Schizosaccharomyces pombe: one gene and its partners. Changing the gene in region 4 together with the main gene of any one other region gives a genetic interaction. Each region holds a gene or a part of one and is shown on either strand. Other genes may lie near its edges.

Region 1 (5,968 bases), on a different chromosome or scaffold from region 4:
AGAACCGATGGATTACAAAGCATCGAAATTAGCATCATTATCGATGAAATTGCAGGTTACTGGGTTCAAAGAAAAAAGTAGTTTTATCGCGTAAAAAGAACATAGGGCTGGAAAAATTATTCCTTACATGTTTAAAAGTAAGAGTGGGCGATATAAAAACATAAAAAACAAATGTTTGTAAGAGAACGACTGAGGAGTATCCGATTAATATAATCAACTGAATGTGATCATATCTTTCTAAGAAAAAAACAATTTCGCGATCATGGTCATCATCAGCTCAAACACTACCTAGTGTGAGCCAAATTTTTTCTTACCGATATCAAATGGAACGTAACGATACTTGAGCATGTGCTGAATTTGTCGTCGAAAGCAGAAAAAAGAAAGTACAAGATAATAGACAACAAGAATAGGCCAAAACACAGGTACATCAAATATTCGGAAAAAGGACGCGACTAAGGCGAACAAGGTGGCACGCATGCTTGAATACCAAAACTTGAATTCTGGCAATCTACGAATAAAGGGTCGAAATTCATCGTCTTTGGAAGTAGGAAGAACTCCTTCTTCAATTTCTTCATCTTTCATTGCTTGCTCAACACTAGGATCGAATTTTGGAGTCAAGAACGCAAGGAACAGATTGAGCAGGTAAATGGCTAATGTATAGCAAACAATATACCAACCGCGAACCAGTAGAATCCTAATAAAAAATAATGCAATTAATCCACTAACAGTCAGCCATCTATACGTTGTATAAGGTATGGTTCGGTCCACCCAGTGTCGATACAACTAAAAACACGTTAGATTTTCTTCTTTTCTCAAGCTAATCAAGTTATTCTTACTCGAACTGCAAAGTTTTTCTTCTCTTTAACATTTTCTATATGACGCTGAATGAATTCCATGCTTAAATACTGTCAAACAGACGATAAAATGGTGGTTGGTAGTGAAGTGAAATATGTATTCAATTCAGACATATACGCGCTACTGCCAGACTCCATTTACCCCCTACACTAGAATACAGTATACATTATAATGTGTTATCGGTGAATGATATTATTAGTTTAAAGTAATATAACGATAAAGTAATAATTTGTCTCTACAGGACTCGAGAGCGGTAAGCGTGTAAAGAAAAGATTCAGTGATAATTTGGCAGTCAGAATTACTTTTTTTTTGAATAGATTAGTATAGTTACACCACGGTTACGTTTACCAATTTGAAGTTCCTAAATATGATCAACTCATTAACCGATTAGAAATTTAATGCATATACTTACCAATACGTTAAACTGTATACAGCTCACCTTCGACTTCATTAATTTTGCAGAAAAATGGCATGTCGATTTGGGTGTTTATGAAGAATTCATAGTAGTAAACGAGTCGTCAATTTGTTGGAAAAGTCAAGAGTAAAGATAATAATCTGAAGAATTTGTCTGGGTACTCTTTAACATTTACAACATGACACTTCTTCTTTCGATGCAAGCTTTTATAAAAAGGTTCATTAAGCAAATGTAGCGGAAATAACAACTAATGATCATTGAGTATAGCCGGTGCTGGACATCTCTAATAAAGCGATGTCAACTTCTATTTGAAATTAACGGCAAAGCTCTTTTCAAACCAGCCATGAATTTTGCAGTTATCATCAACCCTAACAGCATTATAATTTACACAAATGTAATATAATGCTTGTTTATTTTATTTCGAGGTTCATAAAGTCAGATAACGTATGCTTTTTCAATTCATGACAATCCTGCACAGCAAAATAATGTGACAAATCTACATTGAATAGCTTTAATAAAAGGAAAAAGAAATTAATGAATTCAGTCTATAAAAGTAAACCAGATCGACATTTATACGCAGATTAGATTGAAGACAAAGGCAAGGAAGAAATGTATAGAAAAAGACAAGATTGCAAGCATTGCCAACTTCCTAAACAAAAAAAAATACAAATATCAAACTTAGGATCAAGCGATATAACTTTACCTACCCAAATATCCACAGCTTTTTAGGAGTAATATCGATTATGTTTCACACAGGTAGCATAGATTCAATAATAATTGAAAAAAAGCCAAAGATTAAGTGCAATAAAACAAATATAATAAAAGATTGGTGGTTTCAGCCTTAAGCTTATGAATTAAACACAATTAATATTTGTCTGGGGCCTGCAAAACCACCTATAATATAAGTGTCACAATTAGTTTATATAGCAATGTATATTAGAAAAATTAAAGAAGGAATTAGATGATTATCCACCACCTCTGTAACAGAACACCGCATATAAAATAAACACATTCTTCCATTGAAAACAACCGTAACTAGCACGGTTAAGGAGGCAGACTATGCTTAGATAATATATACACATACATAGAGCATAATTGTATAGGTAATTATGTAAAAGGAGTGGCATCCAGTGGCTTGTGTATAATAAAAATAAAGACAAGATGAGGGGAAATAACCAAATGCATTAATAATGGTAATACTATTATTATTAATGCACATCAATGAACCCTCTCACGATATTCATCCCACAAAACCTGACAACGGTTCTCCACCCAACACCCAGCAAAATGTATAACCAAATGACCTTCTTTCCAGCCCATTTCCGGCTGGCCAACAGGGTAAGAATTAATAAGGGTTTGAGGTAAAATTCCTATTATAGCAGCAATTTCCGGGTGATATCTAACAAAATATCCCAAAAGGGCCTGTTCATGATCCGCAACCTTATTTTCTCTAAAGGATTTATCGCCCCATAAGTCCAAAAACAGAGCCATCATGGGCGACCTTCTAACAAAGAAACTTCCCGCGTTTAAGCCATTCAAATCTTGAGAAATCAATAGCCCTAAAGAACGAGCACTGTCAACAGTATAGGAACTTGGGGTGAGACGTTCGAGATCAGCACTAAATGGAGATATCATAGGTTCATTCTTCATTAACTTTTCCACTAAAACGTCAGGTGACAAAATATGTTCTTGAATAGAGAGTTCTGTGTTCAAAATTAACGCATCTTGGTCCAACCACCAAATCCATTTCGCATGAGGATGCTTATTCATTGTTTGTATAATAGCGGGCATTTTGGCCCACACTGGAGGAATGTTCATTTGGCTTACATTAACATATTCAAAGCCATAGTTGTGATGCTTTGCGTAGTTAATTCGGTTTTCTATGCATTGATTAAATGTTTCAGGTGCCATATTGCCACTTGAACGTCCATCACTCGCTAAGAGGATTACTATTTCATGGGATTTGGGCTCTTGAGGATCATCCTCGTTAATTGTCGCTTGATGATACGTCGTGCTAAGGCCTTGCATATCTTCATCCAGAGGTACTAAGTAGTCGTATTCTTGTACACTTGGTTTGGAAAATACATCTTGTAAACGTTCTAAAGCAGGTGAAGCAGAAAAAGAGTTTCCAAATTGGAAGTAAATGAGAAAAGAGCTAATCCCAATGATTAACAACACGAATATAACACGAGATAACTTCCACTGTAGGACTGCCATTTTAAAGATTAGCAGATGTTAAATGCAAATTAATAAAAAAATAAAAAATAAAATTTAGTCTTTTAGAGACAAGAGAAACTCTTTTTCAAGTTTCACAAATATAAACTGAGATTGGATAAAAGCAAAACAATAAGATACCAAGAATGGATCAGAAATTATGAATGAAATGGGAAACTTTCTACTCTTTCTCGGTAGAAAATTAGAAAGCCGTTTTAAAAATTAAAATGAGATTTGTGATATTCCAAAGAATACTACGTTTGAAACACGAATCTTCGCCCGTTGACTCAAGAAACGAGAGAAAACAGTAAAAAGAAATTGAAAATATAATGTAAATTATAATAAAAAAATATGAATGAATTAGATTCTTTAAAAAATGATTAACCAGATGGACCTGGAATTAAAGGCAGTGTGTAGTGGAAGGATTGAAATTACCGCATCATGGAGTCAATCATCATAAATTTACGGTTTCCTCTACTTATCGTATCCTATTTATAATAAAAGAAGAAAAAGAAGAAAAATCTGTATGGTAATGATTTATGTTCAAAATAATGAGTTGTTCCTTTAAAATCACGTTTCCAAACTTTTAATGACATGATTCACAGTACTTAAACATTTTAACCAGTTTTATACGTTGGGACAAATAACAGGAATGGCTTAATTCAGCAATACGTCTAAATCAATGTCATGATTGAATGGGAAAATAATCAAACGATTCAAATTGTTGAAACAGGTAAAGCAGATCAAGTACTGGAATGCGGACTGAAGTCCAATTCGAGAATGGTTACAACTATGAAATGAGAATTAATTTACTGAAAAGAATACAGTATCAATGGAATAGCTTTCCTGATAATGTGAAAGCTGTTTAAAGAGTATTCTATGTGTCTAGAGTGCAGACTCGTGGATTTTCACAGTAATGAATAAGAAATGTTAAACTAAAAATATCAATTGTTGTTATTATCTTGATTTTTCATATATCTGTTAAACTCCCGCTTTCCGATTTTCTTTTTGGGTCAACTCATAAATGTATATGTGTGAGTAACTGAAATGATCACGAAACAAGCGGAAAGCTGAAAGATAGGGATACTCATTTCAGATCTTTTTGATTCTTCATTTTTTGGAAGTCACCAAGCTCTTTTGGTCAATATTCCTTCGTTCAACTTCGTATTCTTATAAATGGACTAGCGATGAGGCAAAAATCTAGCAATGTTAATTGCTAGAAATGCAATTAAGTTAAAGCAAACTTAAGCTAAGAATTCAGGACTAAGGTCACTCAAAAAGGTTCTTCATAAGATCCTCTATACTTAGTCAAAAAAACAAACTATATGCAACAGGATTGTCACAGCTATTTTTTCAAAAATGAATGATAGATAAATGTCAAAAAAGCTCAATCATCCTATTTACAAAAGTTTTATACATGTCTTTCAGGAACGTATCCGAGCACTAATGCACCACTCCGACATTGAGTATCTTTCGGTTTGCGCTAATCTGATCTAATAATTTAAATGACTTCTAATAGCATAGAATCGTCTTAAAATTAAACTCATTAGCGAGAGATCGCATTTGAGTTTGTAAATAAAAACAGGTTGAGTAAAGGGGGTATCCGTCAAAAGAGGATAAATTTCGTTCTTCTTCTACTTTGAATATTATTTTAGTTTCTTTTTTAAAAGCCATGAATTCAAGTGACTGAAGCATCTATCCTCGATCAAATTTAACATACACAGCTAGTTCACACAATCTTTCCTCACCACCATACCTGCTATATTTTTTCTTTCAACAACCAACTCCATGTCGCGTTTTTCAATAGAAGGGAAGTCTTTGAAATTAGATGCAATTACAACTGAAGACGAGAAGTCTGTATTTGCTGTTCTGTTAGAAGATGATTCTGTAAAGGAAATTGTATTGTCTGGTAACACAATTGGAACCGAAGCTGCTAGATGGTTGTCAGAGAATATTGCCTCAAAAAAAGATTTAGAAATTGCAGAGTTTAGTGATATCTTTACTGGACGTGTCAAAGATGAAATTCCTGAGGCTTTACGTCTGTTGCTACAAGCTTTACTCAAGTGCCCAAAACTACATACTGTAAGATTGAGCGATAATGCCTTTGGCCCTACTGCACAGGAGCCCTTGATTGACTTTCTTTCAAAACACACACCTTTGGAGCATCTTTACCTACACAATAATGGACTCGGTCCTCAAGCTGGCGCAAAAATTGCTCGTGCCTTGCAAGAGCTGGCGGTCAACAAGAAAGCTAAAAATGCACCTCCCTTGCGTTCCATTATTTGTGGAAGAAATCGTTTAGAAAATGGGAGTATGAAAGAATGGGCTAAAACTTTCCAGAGCCACCGTTTGCTACATACAGTGAAAATGGTGCAAAATGGTATCCGTCCCGAAGGTATTGAACACTTATTGCTTGAAGGATTAGCATATTGCCAAGAGCTAAAGGTACTCGATCTTCAAGATAACACATTTACGCACTTGGGC
Region 2 (5,386 bases), on a different chromosome or scaffold from region 4:
ACCGTACAAAATCATTGCGAGACGTTCAAGACCAATTCCAAAAGCCCAACCAATGTAGTTATTTAATCCTGCACCTTTAAGCAGCCTATCCTGGACGACCCCACATCCTAATATTTCAAGCCATTTTCCTTTCCAGTCAATTTCTAACTGAAACGAGGGCTTGGTAAAGGGGAAACTGTCGTACGTCCAACGATACCGAACCTGTTCAGCTCCGGAAGAAATAGAAGGAGCAAGTGATACCAGGTCATGAATCACGGTGGTCAGAGTATCCTTTAAATGTTGGGAAACAAATTTTGTCTCTTCAAGTGAATAAATATCTTGCATGTCATTATGAGTTTCTAATGCAGTAGTTTCATCATCCACCATTGACTTAAGAGATGGAGAAAGAGCTACTTTTTTTAGATCATTTTTCATTTTTGCAGTATCATTTCTGTTCCACACCAATGCACCTTCCATTTGATGAAAAATTGGATAATGACTAGAATCCACTTCATCGCGACGGTATACATCTGCGGTTATTAAGAAACCATTTTTCTTAAATCCTTCTTTGGCCAAGCGAGAGAACTCTTCAGGTTGATGAGCCGAGGTATGGGTTCGAAGACAAGTTTTATTGTTCATATAGTAAGTATCGGATTTGCTTCTACTTACATGTGTCTTGGGAAATCCTAAAGAATCAAAATTCGTCTCTACAGAAACAATAGGTGATTCTTTTTGAACATTATTCATTTCGAATTTTTGAAATTGCTGTTCGAGAAGTTGTCGTAGACTGCATATGGGATGACCTTCTTTTTGAAAAAGGTTTCGACCAATTTTTGAGTGAATATGCTCTGGGACATTGGACCAAGAATCTGTTTGGACTTTTCTTTTCCAATTGGGAAACCTTCTCGAAAATAGTTTCGATAAATGAGAGACTCGATGAGGGAACATTGATTTCTTAAATAACACACTTCACTTTTTGTAATCAAACAATGATAATTTAAATTAGAACAACGAAGCTAACTATTTTTAAAATTAATATATAATAATAATTTAATAGAATTCAATCAATCGGTCTTAATTGCGTCCCATTTGAAAGTAAAAAAATGATAGTACCCAAATATAGGGGTTGTGCCGTTCTTGGATACAATGAACAAAGGAGTAAAATTCGAATCGTTTAATTTTCAAGCAGTGGTTTATAGATTTGGTCAGTTTACAAATATTTCATTCATTGTTTTTGCATAAAAAAAATATATGCTTTAATTTCAAAAGCCATTATCACTCAAATGGATTTCATTACGACGAATTGCAAATTTTATTTCCATAAGACTCCTGACATAACTTTATTTAGAAAGATAGAGCATCATACTGTACATAAAGTTGCCAACTTCAAAAGAAGTGCAGAAAAATTATCAAGGACTTTCTTGTAATCGGTCATATTAGATCAAGTATTTAATAGCTTCACTGTCCTATAAGCCGTACAATCGTAATGTAGGCTACAAAAAACTCAACATTTCAAATAACATTTCAAATCATCCCGATTTTAAAGAAAGCAGCATTCTGCGTATGAAAATTCATTCAAACCCCTAACAAGTTTGTCATCTACTAACATTTTACTCCAAGAAAGGCTGGGGTTTAAAAATTAAATAAAACGGTTTGAAGCGTAACAGCAAAACTCGAACTTTGTACTTAAAGTACGATACAAAACTTGACTTTAGAAAAGGAAATAGATTAGACAACACTAAAATCCTCCAACACGAAATTAGAAGGTCCTGAACGTAATGATACTAAGCTCATGAAATCATGAAAAGGGAGAAACTATTAAGGTGTTCACTAAGGAGGGGAGGATAATTAAATGACTTGATTAGTAATGAAAGAAGGAGTTTGCTTATCCCCGATAATAAAAAATTGAGAAAACTACCAACATACTGGACAGACGTTGTTCTTGAGTAAAATGACAAATATCATGAAATTAAACCAGTCTAAAGTACAAGGTATTTTTCCATGCGTGACTGAAAAAAACTAGGATGATGGTTTCAAAAGATTTTGAATATGATCCTTTTCTTGAGCAGACATCCAATCGGATCCTTGTTTAGAAGATAAAATTTGAGCATACTTAAGGAACTTCTCGGGACAATTCTTAAAATAGTTACATCCAGCAAAATGGATACACAAGTCCCCGTCGTCATAGCCCCAAATATTATCATCAAAATCATATGCGTTTATAGCCTTAAGTGGGACAACACCTACATGTTTATACACCTGGGGATGGTAAAATACCATGTGAGAAAACGCTTGTTGCTCAGCATATCCCTGAATATGATCCAAATATAAGGGTTCAAACCACAAATCAACAATCCAGCGGCCAACTTCGCTATTACGAATAAAAAGACTGCCAGCGTTAATACCATTAAAATCTTGAGAGATGATGAAATGAACATCCTTAGCATCCTGATCCTTTGGAGTTCTAAATCCATCGGCGGGGATACCTGCACCACTCTTATATTCAGCCTCCCTAGTTAAAATGGTATTCAATCGGTCGTGCTTAAGCACATGGTCGACGACGTTAAGATCTTTGTTCATGACCAACGCGTCATGATCAAGCCACCAAATCCATTCAGCGTCAGGATATTTCTTCATCGTATCTTGAAGCATAGGGACCTTAACCCAGGGCATTAAATGACCTGTAACACGAGAAGCATAGGCATCGGCATCTAAGAATTCGAATTTGTAACCATGGCGTTCAGCATATTCACGACGATTTTTGATAATGGACTGAGCGAAAGGATGGAGAGGAGAGTTAGCATCATTTTGAAAGTTAGAGCCCATCAAAATGACGATTTTAGAGTTATCCGGATGAGGATCAGTGGTAGCTAAAGCATGAACTACAGAAGTGACAGTTGGAGTAGCAGTGAAAGTTTCGGTTAAAGTGGCAGTAACACTAACAACTTCACTAATGGTAACACGTAAAGTATCAGTTTGGGTACTGGTTACGGAGGAAACGACTGGGGTCCAAGTACTCGTGTGTTGGTCGATGATCTCCTTCATCTTCGTTTGAAGCTTGGTATCCATAGCTGAAGTCCACCAAGCTCCACCCAGGATTATGGTTGTAATTACAACAGCACTAATTAAATAAGGAGCGAACCGCATTGTCAAATAATCAAGAGTAAACTAATAATATAGAAGAGACAAAATAAAATAAAATGATAAAGGAACGGAGAATTTCCTTAGAAATGCAAAATTAAGCAGTGAACGAAAGATAAAATTAGAGAAAGGATGGTGATGAGTGATATATGAGAGCTTTTAAAAAGTAGAAACAGGAAGGGTAAAAGAACCGACAGTAGGAATATTAGACGAAAATCAAAGAAGATTCTGTGCAATAAAAGAGATTGTATCCAAGAGAATGTAGAAAACCTAGATACGTGTGGTGAATTAAAAAGAAAAAAAACCCCCCCAAGTGAAAATATTCTCTCAACTAAGAAATCTGTTACAATAAGTAATGGTAAGAAAATCCCTGTAGAGAACCTATATGAAAAGGTTCAATTTGTAAATAAATAGTAACCTAACGAACGAAGGCAAAATATAGCAAAGTTTAGAAAGAAAAAGAAGCGAAAGAAGGAAGTAAACACCAGTTTGAAGTATATAACTAGTCCAAACCAATGAAATGAATACTTTAATACTACTTGGCAATGTAGGTGTTAAAAATCACTTGAATCTAATTAAATCCACGATAAAGATTACAATTCAGTACTTGTCAACGCAAAACTAAAAAGAAAGCAAAAATCAAAAACTCAAGAAAAAGTATTGAAATTTAAAAATGCCTCTGGAAACCAAAAAAAAGTGAGATTACCAAAAGCGAAATGAACAAAGCCCGTATAAACGAATAAATTAGCTCAGTAAAAAATCCTTTAAAACCAGTTTTTCGTCAAGGTCTTACAATTAGAATGTTAACAAACACAAAACCAATTGCCTTAAGCAAAAAAAAATTGGTGGTAAGTTAAGGCCAGGTTTAAATCGGGGGGGAATGCTAATATGTTTCTGGAGTGATGGATTAATTGTCTCCTTGTTACCTGCCAAACGTGTTACCTGTTATTGAAAATAAAAAAAGGGAGCTTGCTAAACAATTGTATTTATAGAAGTCAGTGACTTGTGCATCGATGCAATCCCGAATTTCCAAAGAAAATTAGTTTCTACATTCTTTGGTAAAATTCTGCAGTAAATTCTTGACGCTTTGGTGCGGTGATGTTAGTGTAAACAAAGAAAAAGTCAAATGGCTGGTAAAGCCAATATTACAAAACAACATGGCAAGTGCTAGAAATAAAAGTAGTTTAAAGAGATATAATAGTATCATTCAGGTTTTAAAAGACATCGAAATAATTTTTTTTTAGTACTGCCGCTTAATGGGAAAAAATTCTATTCCAAACATGAAAGACAATAAAACTTCTAAAAAAGATGAAAAGAGCAATAAATAAAAATAAAACAATAATAAATCTAAGTAAAGCATAATTCGTATTTATTTAAATATTTTTGTTTCGATTGAAAATTACTGATCCAACTAATTTAACCCTAGAGAGCAAACTAGTAATGACTGAGCAAGATTCATTGCTTTGTTTCTATTACCATACTGTATATTATCGGCTTCTTTATATTATTAATTACCTTATAGCAAGTTCCTCCAATTATTTAGTCCCATCCCATACCATACCGATTGTTTAGGAATTTCCAATCGATCGTTTCGCTAACTTAACTGCATGTAACTTCATTCAAATTCAAAGCCAACAAACCTTTTTCGATGTTTAATGGAACATAGGATCTTTTACCATAAAACTCAATGTTTTCCCCTTTAGTTACACTGCTTTACTTCTTTATTTTTGTAAACGGACAAAAATAAATTTGTCCCCTTTACAACTATCGGACCGGGTGGAAAAGAAAAAAAAGGGTTCCGCAAATCCTAAACTTTCAAATAAGGATTATACAGAAAGGAACTATTTCCTCCGAACATTGCAGAAAAGAGTCAATTTGTCTACTTCCATTTAAAATTTTTTTGCAATGCTCACTCAGCTTTCCAAAGCTTCTTTAACGTGCTAATTATGAGAGTGTGTAATGAAAAATCAAAGACCATCTAGGTTATCGTTAAAGATAATAAGAAACCGAGTTATGGTTGCTGTAAAAAGATATCGCTCTGGCATGCGATGGTTAGTAAATAATACTGGAATCACCGCAATCAAAAGTTTTGCTGCAAAAAAACGAACTGAAGAAACTCCCTTTAAATATTACATTTAAAGAGTTGCTTAAATGTATTGCATCTACAATAAGACTGGTACCGTCCTTGGATAAACAGGTCTACCTATTTATCCGCTTGGTATACTACAGAGATAGCAAATTGAATAACTGGCATGTCATCAGACAG
Region 3 (5,154 bases), 1.7 Mb from region 4:
ACCATCCAAACCGCCGTCCTCATCGAAACTTTGGTTGCTTTGGGTGCTGAAGTTACCTGGTCCTCTTGCAACATTTATTCTACTCAAGATCATGCTGCTGCTGCCATTGCCGCCACTGGTGTCCCTGTTTTCGCCTGGAAGGGTGAGACTGAGGAAGAATACCTCTGGTGTATTGAGCAACAATTGAAGTCTTTCCCTAGTGGTAAGCCTTTGAACATGATTTTGGATGATGGTGGAGATTTGACTGCTCTTGTTCATGAGCGTCACCCTGAACTTTTGGTTGACATTCGTGGTATCTCTGAGGAGACCACCACTGGTGTTCACAACTTGTACAAAATGTTCAAGGAGAACAAGCTTAAGGTTCCTGCTATTAACGTTAACGACTCTGTTACCAAGTCCAAGTTTGACAATCTTTTTGGATGCAAGGAGTCCTTGGTGGATGGTATCAAGCGTGCCACTGATGTTATGATTGCTGGTAAAGTTGCTGTTGTTGCTGGTTTTGGTGATGTTGGTAAAGGTTGTTCAACTTCTCTTCGTAGCCAAGGTGCCCGTGTCATTGTCACTGAAGTCGATCCCATCAATGCCCTTCAAGCCGCTATGGACGGTTTCGAAGTCACCACTATGGAAGAGGCTGTTAAGGAAGGTCAAATCTTTGTTACCACCACTGGTTGCCGTGACATTATTCGTGGTGAGCACTTCAACGAAATGAAGGAGGACTCTATCGTTTGTAACATTGGTCATTTTGATGTCGAGATCGATGTCGCTTGGTTGAAGGCTAACGCTAAGGATGTTGTTAACATCAAGCCCCAGGTTGATCGTTATGAATTGAAGAACGGTCGTCATATCATTCTTTTAGCTGATGGTCGTCTCGTTAACCTTGGTTGTGCCACCGGACATCCCTCTTTTGTTATGTCCTGCTCTTTCACTAACCAGGTCCTTGCCCAAATCGCTTTGTGGACCGATAACACCAGCTATCCTCTTGGTGTTCATATGCTTCCCAAGAAGTTGGATGAGGAGGTTGCCCGTCTTCATTTGGGTAAACTCGGTGTCAAACTTACTACTTTGACTTCTGTTCAATCCGACTACTTGGGTATCCCTGTTGACGGTCCTTACAAGGCTGATCACTATCGTTACTAATCTATTCTTATCATTTAGTTTATAGAATTTATTTTGAAGTTATAATTACTTTAAAAATGTTTCAGCCTCTTTTTTTTGCATGAGTGATGTTTCAACAGCATCTATGTCTCTATGTCGCCATGAAATGCATTAATGTTATTCAACTGGGTTTATGTGGATTTCAGGTCAAACATAATAAATGTTTCTTTCTTTGCATAGAATAGCAATTAACGTGCTTTCATTAAGAAGATTTGATGAATATAACATATGAATTGCTTGACTTGTAAACCAATCTGCGATGTATTTCCGTAAACGAAAAACATATCTTCCCTTGATCAAACAAAGGAAATTAAGTATAAATTCATTAAATTAATGTAGGAATATGCAAACCACCGAATTTGAAAGATAGGTTTAGATGAAGATGAGTTACTGGAAATGAAAGTAAGATGCTAAGACAGTACTAACCTACGATTGTTCATCAACCGTTTCTTCCGAAAGCTGCTTTTTAATGGCTGGAAGTTTTCTCTGTTGATAGTAGTTGCTGGAAGTGTTAGTAAAAATACAAGAGACCAAGATGATAAATAGAATACATACTCGAATATACGCTCGCATGCAGCAGCGTTCTCACAGTCCTGAAGAATAACCAAGAAATCACCTTCTTCGTAATTCAAATCGACCGCAGAGTTGGTGTATGAATTTAAAACTTTAGGAGACACAAGTGCAACATGATCCAAGATAGTGTTATGTGCTTCCAATAAGTGGGATAGCGCAGATCGCTCAGCTTGATCAAAACCGGCGGATTTCAACAAAGGTTCATTCCAAGCATCTAAAAGAAATGGCGCAAAGTTGTTATTTTTAATAAGCAAAGAACGCGTACTAATTCCATTATAATCACTGGTGGTAATTACAAATACATCAGATGGATCCATTTTACGGCGTGTACGGATGTAGTTCTTTAATGGATCGATCGGAGAATTAAGAAGCAAATGCTGCGACAGTTTTTCTGGTTTCAAGACCCTATCCTTGAGAGATTCGGAAGGATTCATTATAACAGCCTTTGCATCGAGCAACCATATCCAGCCAGCGTCGGGATACTCAGCCAAAGTTTCCCTCAAAGCTGGGATAATACTCCAAGTACCATAGACACCATACCTCGCTTGAATATCGCGGGCTTTCTTGTGGACTAGGGTATAGCCATGACGCAAGGCATACTCTGTACGATCAGAAAGCACTTTATCCAGGAAGACAGAGCTGGAGTCAGATCTACTTGAATCATAATGGTCGTCAAAACTAACAATCAACATGACTACGGAATCAGGATCTTGTGGAGATGTTTTCGCCTTAGAAACACCTTTGTATGAAGAGGAATGGGCACTGGGAGAACCAATCGAATTGGAATAAACAGGCATTGAAGACTTTAAAGAATAAAAGCCAAAAAGCAATAAAACGATGGCCAAGAGACCTAAACTTTTTCCTCTACGAGAAAATAAACGAAAGTTGAACATCTTGCAGAATACAAAGTAAAAAAGTGCAAAACAAACAGTTTGCGAGAAAAAATGAGTTGGTTATGCGCGTCTATGGAACAAGATAACGGTTTAAAAGAATAAACCTTAGGGGTTTTTTAAATGTGCAAATAATGTAGAAAAGAAGGTAAGAGAATATCTGTAAATCGAGAAGGTATAAATAGAGAAGAGAAAAAAAGGTATAAAGATCTGGGTCGTAAAGAAAATGGAATATATATGGCCCTTTTTTAAATGCAAATAAATGATCCAACGATATATACGCGAGTATATCCGAAAATTAAAACAGTAAAGATGTTACAGAGGGCGTTTTCACTAAGAAATACGAAAAACCGGATAATGAAAGAAACCTTGCGAGAACACAACGCCTAGCTTTCAAAATGAGCCTTTTTGTCAAGCTATATCGGCGATATTTAAAAAAGAGGAAGATTCTACAATTTAAACAACAATAGATTATAGCTTATCCTGACAACAATCCTTTTACACCGTTTCAAAGACTACGAGTCAAGATGGACTGGTTATTGATATTGAATATGATTTTTACAGAAATCAGGATCCACCCAACCACGTACTAAGAGCAGAGAAACGTTGCTTTTATAATTGGCAGCAACTTGGCTGTATTTGTAGTCTGCGTGTTCGACATTCGAAGGATTTTGATTAACGTGTACGATGCATCCTACCTAACGTACTCTAACGTGTTTTTAGATTTTTTTAGTGATATTGAAATTATACTTTAAACTGTTATAGCGTTATACCCGGTGCTACTCATTATATAGCGAAAATCATAAAAGTAAATAGTAAATAGAGTAAGATTGAAGATGAATTGAATCAGAGTCGATGAACTTCTATTGACTTAAAAAATTATGTATGTAATTAATAAAATATCATCTTGTTTTTTCTACTAACAAATTTTTACAGCGGTTATATACAAGCTTCGGCGTGTATAGTTGGTTTATATAAATTGCAAGCAAAGTGTACACCATTTTTTTTATTATTTCCATATAAAGAAAAAAAAAAAAAAAAAAAAAGGGGATTCTATAGCCCTTTGGTATTTACGAAGACTCATTGATAGTTTAAATCGCACTCATTGAATGGCATTAAACACATTTGTTTGTTTGAATTTTTTTCATTGTTTATGAAGTACAGGATTTTTTTTTTTACCTATCAATAAAAGTATTGATATAAAATATCCCTTTACCTTGATCAATACTTCAAAAAAAATTTAAAATTAGTTTAATTATATTAAATGGACGGTTTTTAGCCTGGTAAATGAAATTCATGCCTTTACTCTTCACCAACTTTTTAAGACGTTAAAATTTTTATAAAAAGCCAAATCCTAATATTCTGTTTCCCAAGACAGCAAAAAGTAAATAAAATACTGCTACTTGGGCCATATTATTACTTCTCATTAATTGCTTACAGAAACTGCTATGGAAAAAGAAAGCGAAATACAAAGCTTACCACCAACGAGACGATATACGATATCTTTAGCATTACCTATTTCAAGTCTAAATGTAGCATACAATTTGCAGCTTAAAACGAGTTTTGTCTGGAAGGTTTGAAAGATTCGTTGTTGTCGCGTATTAACTCAAAATATAGATTTCGAGAATAGTTTCTCTATATGGTATTGACGAAATTATTTTGCTAGAGGACCCTGAATATGTGCAAAACACCCAGGTACATACACTTTCCTCTGATGCTTATTTAAAGGATCCCACAAAATTTCTCACGGACTTATTATGCTATTTCGAAACGCCTTTCTTTATGAGGAAGGAATTGTTTCCACTAAATCCACATCTAAAATATACTAGCTGCTTTCCATTACTTCCCCTCAGAAATGACAAGGCTAGCACAGTGAATATTGAATTCCCATACCGAGAGGGAATCGTTACTCATCCATCTCCGCAAGCAAAGAATAAATATATTATAAATGCTGGACTATCTCACAATGTAATCGTTTCCAGCCCCAGCGTCCTTGCTCCTAGAACAAGGGTCACGGTTCGATTAAAAGCGCAGTCTCCAAACGAAGAAGGCCAGCTTCAAGGTGATATCGTGTCTTTTTCAGCTCCACGAGAAAAAGGTGGTCATTATTGGGGTTACAAGGTGCGGTCATGTCTTTCTTCTCAGCTGTGTAAAAGTTCTCCTTACAAAGGTGGATATGACTTTGTTGTTCAAATCAACAGTCAGACTTCAGCTATTACTTCAAAAGAGTTAGAAGCGAGTTTACCAAGTTCGTTTCGGCATGCTGTTCTTGTTTTACAAGACAATGTCGTACAAAAAGAGCTCGTAGACTCCACTGCCAAAAGTATTTCTTTTAACCCATTCCCAGTTTCTTTTCTAAATGATCCCATTCCTGAAGAGATACTTTTGGCGGCCATGACCCGTTTGTCAGATATGTTGCTGATGCATGGACGACGATAAAGCCTAAATACTTACAAAGGTGAAGCTGTCTTTTTCTTACTTAAATATTATAAAGCTGTCTCGCTAATCAAGGAAAACAAAATCAATTTTGAATATG
Region 4 (5,075 bases):
CTATGCATATGAAGACTACTGGGATGAACAAGCATCAGCCCGGCATTAAAAGTTTCAGATTCTTCTGGGGGCGTCGCATGTCCAGGGTTACGATCGTCACATGCGCCAAGAAGATATGGATAGAATTCTGAGCGAGGAGCACCATAGGCATCGAAATTGTCGCTAAACTGATAATCCTCTTCATCATCTGGCTTCTTAAAGATAGGAAAGCTAAACATATCGGGTTCTGCAGGAGATTCATAAACATAGGGAGTATCAAAAATGTCATCCATGTTTTTCAATACTAGGAGATCGCTATCCAGAATGCAGACCTTATCAAACTGTGTTTGCTCAAATACACTGAGTTTTGTGAACATGTATTGATAACGATAACTGCCCATGCCAATAGACAAACCACTTTCAATTAAGTCTTCAGTTTTAATTTGATCGACCATAATTATTTCGGCCCCATCAAGTCGCAATCGTTCAATTTTCCATTCATCAACCCCTTTCATAACAAGGACATGAACGGGATATTTACTTTTCGTTTCAGGATGATGTTTCAGCTTGTATACTAGTACTCGAGTAGCATTGAAGTATACATCATGTTCTGAAGTAGGAAGGGTAAGTAAGCCCATAAATGTATACCTTTTTAAATCATCTACATTATCGTTATAATATGGGCCATGCTTATGAAGCCCAAATTCATAGGCTGCCGATGAAATTAGCGATCCAGGAAATGCGGGATCCCGATATATTTGGATCCCTAAAAGTAAACCCAAATTCAGCAAAAGAATTAGTGAAATCAAGACAAATTTTGAGCGAAGTAGAAGCCTGGTATGTAAGCGTAACCGCTTAAAGAAATTCATATTCTATAAAGCAAATTTTATCGCTTTCCGCAACTTCGTTTATAGCTATAAAATCCCCACCAGAATAATAAAAACCCTAGGATTATAACTGACTATATCTCGTTAAGACTTGCTAGGTTTAATACAATAAATATAATGTAGTTTGTATTATTGAGTTTGGTAGTGGCTGACTACAATTTAGGAGACTAAAGGTACGATGTAATGCGTACGAAGTATAGTTTTTCATGTAAAATTTTAAGATTATTTGAGTTTACAGTACTTGTTATTTGACATTAAAAGGTTTAAAAAATTTATCAATTACTTGCTATTGATATTTTCTATCCCATCTTCACTCTATCTAAAACCAAGCCTTCTTTGATATATATATTTAAAACAACTTTTAAATAGATTTGCTACCTAAAACATTTTCAAATGTCTTATTGAAATCTAAAAATGAAAAACATGCTAAGGATACGTATGCTCACTAATTAGCAATTTTTATATAAATCCGTTGGTTTTCCTTTGGTCAAAGAAAAAGCATTTATAACATGTTTGCTTACAATTTTAAAATTGATGATAGGACTAACACTTGATTCTTTACACTAATTAGGAATTTTTTAAGAAGGAGCAAAATTTCTTGAAACCATTGAACTTTCAGTGAGTTTTAAACATACGTGATCTAATTTGCATACAGAGAGGAAGCTATTTTTTTGATTATGGTTTACCTGTATCCAGAATCCCATCGATCGTGTATATGAATTTGAATAGTATAGTGGTTTTAAAAAAGGACGGAGGAAACACAAATTATTTTAGAATGACTGTAAAAATGAGATAGCCTTTCAACAGTACGTGTTGTCAGCAATACATTAAATGAAAATAACTGCTTCTTAAAAGTCAAAAGCCGCCTTATTTTTTACTTGATCACGACATGAAAATTGCTTTCATCTGTTTAATATAAATCAGCATTACGTTGTTGGTCATGATACGTTTGCATTTCTTGAAACGCATCCCACCATAGCTTGGATGTGTCTTCATCATAACCTAGACTTCCTTCTGGTTGCCAATGTTTTCCATGAACTGCTTTTAGATATGGTAAGTCATTTTTTCTAGCCCAAAGTCCGTTAAAAGTCCAATCAAGTGACTCCCATGGAAAAGCACCTGCTGAATTGTATGCAAAATTTAGCAAACTTTGCTCCATCATGTTTGCATTATCATACAATTTTGGAAACCTTGCTAATGCCATTAACCTTTTATAATGTGCCTTCAATGGCTTAAAGACGAATAGACCAGCATTAAAATAATCTTTAAAAGGAGGAGGAGTTTCATGCCACATACCTGGATCGGACACAGCAGCGAAAACGTAGGGATAAAGATCGTCTCTTGTCAGCCCGTAAGCTGCAAACTCTTCTGTAAAGCGTCTCCAAAAAATGCTGCGCCTAGGCTTGTAGAATAGGGTGGGAGGAAACAGAACAGAATCCTTACTATAGGAGAGTTGGTGAACATCAAAAACTTTGTCCATTTTTTTAATAGGCAAAATATCACTATCAAGAAAACATATTCTATCATATTCGTACATTTCGAAAACTCTCAACTTGGTAAACATCATACTCCATCGGGAATCCAGTAGGGCAATGTCATTGACATCGTCAACCACTTCATGAGCATATAGTGGATCGACTACTTTAACAATAGCTCCGTCTTCCTGCAATTGATCAAGCTTCCACTGATCAATTCCCTTCATGGCTAGCACTACAACGGGATACTTGCTTTTCGTAGGTTTAAATTTGACAAGTCGGTGAACGAGAAGCCTAGTTGAATTATAATACCAATCCTGTTGCGTATTTTCTACTTCGTTTTCCCCATTAGCGGCGCGTACAGTAAGCATAGTTACAAATGCCATCTTAGAAGAGGGCGCCAACCCTGTCAGTGTGTAAACTGACCTTTGTATTTCTGGACTATGATTGTATAGCAAAACACATTGCCAACCTAATAAAATAATGCTCAAGGTAATCAGTAAACACAGTCCTAGTCGTTTGGGATGGCGAAAAGCACTAAAATATAAACGCATTTTAATGGCAATTGATTGCCAAATTATAAAATGGTGGTGCTTTCGGAGAGAATTACTCTACATACTCCCTTAATGTTTGTTGGTGCATCATACACATTTTGCTTACTTTCAATACCAAAACAAACTCAACACCCTGAAAAACAAATAACATAATTAAATCGACTTTATAACGTAAAAACATCAAATGTTTAAAAATTAAACAAGCTTACTATTTTAACTATAAGAAATGTTAAGATACATGACTCTGACTTAAAATTTTCTCTTATTTAATAAGACGTTTAACCTAAACCAATTATAGTATAATACTAAATAGTTACCGACAAGCTAAGCTACTCAAACTATGTCGAAATGGGTGAATGACGAGATAAAGACAGTTGCTTCCACTGAGGGTTAACAGCCAGTGTGAAAAAAGGATAAAATAACGGTGACTTGAAAAAAGGGCTATCGAACAACTGTTAGAAATTGTCCGGATTTTTTAGGTTATAACAATTGCTTAGGGAAGCAAATTAAGACGGGAAGCAATATCCACTTGAGTACGTAAGGTATTTGCGAGATAAACTACAACCAAAACATCTTGAAGATGTGATGAAAAAATTTTTTCAAAATCTTGGCCTTCTACGCAAGGAATTAAACTAAAGCACTTCATCAAATATCTACCGACAGCAACATTAGCAGGCGAAGAACCATCAATTACGTTTTGCACATAATCGGAAACTCTTTCAATCATAGATAAAAGCTCCAAGGTTGATCTTCGAAGTTGCTGGAGATCTGTGAATAGGCTAGCAAGTCTAGATGGGTCATTCTTAGGAGCAGCTACAGCTTTCAAACCAGAACGGACTGCCTCGTCATCACGAATGGTAAAAGGGGTAGGGACGAATGCACAGCTGTCAGCAAGGCGCTCTGTAATACCTACTGGTGAAGAAACGTAAGTCTTGATGGCAAGGGGACTGCTAACATCTGTGTTGACAGTAAGGTGAACACAGGGATGAGGATACGTTCCTAGTGGAGCAGTTCCGGGTTCAGCAGGAGAAGCATATAAATTTTGAATCAGTGCACTGAAAGCATCTAAATCAGGAGAAGTAGCATACCAACCAACGACAACTTCACGAGGGTTAGCCTTGAGGTGTAAATGGTACATCGCACGATGATATTCCATTTCAACTTCTACCTGCTCACTGCTCTCATTATGAGGAACTGCAAAACAACTTTTAATCTCAATTTCTCGGCCATCTTCAGAACGTGTTCCCAAAAGTGTACCGATAACACGTTGATTATTTTCACTTTTCCGGGTTGAATGGTCAAGGATAGAAAAAAGCACTGCTGGTTCAATGACAATGTTCAAAGGACTTGACCTGGAAGACGGTTTTGTGAGATGGAGTACGTGCTTAGTCCCCAAAGCCATTTTTTAAAATTTTCACGTTGTTGGCTACTCTCAGGTAGGTAGATCTGGTATTGTTCCCCAATCAATAATAATTTTACTGTACTAGTTTACAGTCTCATAGAATTCGTTAAATTGAAGACACTATTTTTCGCCTAACTTCTAAGGTTTACCATTTAAGAAAGTGTATTTTCAGTTGCGTTGAATAATCTAAAAAATCTCCTTAACAATGTCTCATTTGTACGTACAATAATGAGAAACTCTTTATTCAAAATTCTATAACTATTTACATTTGTACATTCTCTGGTTAAAAATCATTTATATATATATACAATGTTCAAAAAATTCGGTTAGCAAAAAAGTGTAAACATAAAACCCAAAAAAGCAGTTTGCTTTTTCTTGACTAATAATGAACAGTAATTTAACTCATATCAGCAAAAACAGAGCACTCACGAACATGAATACCATAGGAAGTAGGAACCTTCGTTTCTTCATAAGCACTTTCTAGCTGAGAACCTCCACTAGAAGAAGTAGTATCAAACATATCTGGTTTCAAAAACAATTTGGTGAGACCAGGGTTATTAGAGGAATCAACCATGCGAATACGGAACTCGATAACTGGCTTTCTAATAGCAGCACTAGGACTAATCGCAAACTTGGCTAAAATTTTAAATCCAGACGAAGATATATTAATGTTCGAAAGATGTAGCTTAAGTTTACTAGTTTTCCTGCTAAATTCTCCGGCCGGAGAACTTTGACAGCTTTTTACAAGGACATTTTCCCCCAAGTAAACGATGATAAC

What was found.
Region 1: mutations in otg2 (region 4) and gmh3 impair growth when combined (synthetic growth defect), as found in Schizosaccharomyces pombe (one study listed by BioGRID).
Region 2: mutations in otg2 (region 4) and gma12 impair growth when combined (synthetic growth defect), as found in Schizosaccharomyces pombe (one study listed by BioGRID).
Region 3: mutations in otg2 (region 4) and gmh4 impair growth when combined (synthetic growth defect), as found in Schizosaccharomyces pombe (one study listed by BioGRID).

The regions. Positions count from the first base shown.
Region 1 is NC_003424.3:5,026,512-5,032,479, forward strand, and holds gmh3 (alpha-1,2-galactosyltransferase Gmh3), read right to left. Parts: upstream 3,903-5,968; 5' UTR 3,488-3,902; coding exon 2,489-3,487; 3' UTR 1,268-2,488; intron 1,217-1,267; 3' UTR 1,094-1,216; downstream 1-1,093. Other genes in the region: Rer1 family protein, read right to left, coding at 289-783, 837-896; RanGAP Rna1, read left to right, coding at 5,273-5,968.
Region 2 is NC_003421.2:314,727-320,112, forward strand, and holds gma12 (Golgi alpha-1,2-galactosyltransferase Gma12), read right to left. Parts: upstream 3,127-5,386; coding exon 1,999-3,126; 3' UTR 1,101-1,998; downstream 1-1,100. Other genes in the region: msf1 (phenylalanyl-tRNA synthetase), read right to left, coding at 1-927. UniProt on the Schizosaccharomyces pombe protein: Involved in the O- and N-linked oligosaccharide modification of proteins transported through the Golgi stack. This occurs in cis Golgi where the enzyme transfers galactose from UDP-galactose to a variety of mannose based acceptors.
Region 3 is NC_003423.3:1,387,650-1,392,803, reverse strand, and holds gmh4 (alpha-1,2-galactosyltransferase Gmh4), read right to left. Parts: upstream 3,269-5,154; 5' UTR 2,622-3,268; coding exon 1,711-2,621; intron 1,658-1,710; coding exon 1,582-1,657; 3' UTR 1,138-1,581; downstream 1-1,137. Other genes in the region: SPOM_SPBC8D2.18C (adenosylhomocysteinase), read left to right, coding at 1-1,137; SPOM_SPBC8D2.16C (uncharacterized protein), read left to right, coding at 4,067-4,192, 4,236-5,057.
Region 4 is NC_003423.3:3,119,510-3,124,584, forward strand, and holds otg2 (alpha-1,3-galactosyltransferase Otg2), read right to left. Parts: upstream 2,940-5,075; 5' UTR 2,896-2,939; coding exon 1,777-2,895; 3' UTR 1,262-1,776; downstream 1-1,261. Other genes in the region: alpha-1,3-galactosyltransferase Otg3, read right to left, coding at 1-848; tif306 (translation initiation factor eIF3f), read right to left, coding at 3,389-4,297; cytoskeletal protein Syp1, read right to left, coding at 4,695-5,075.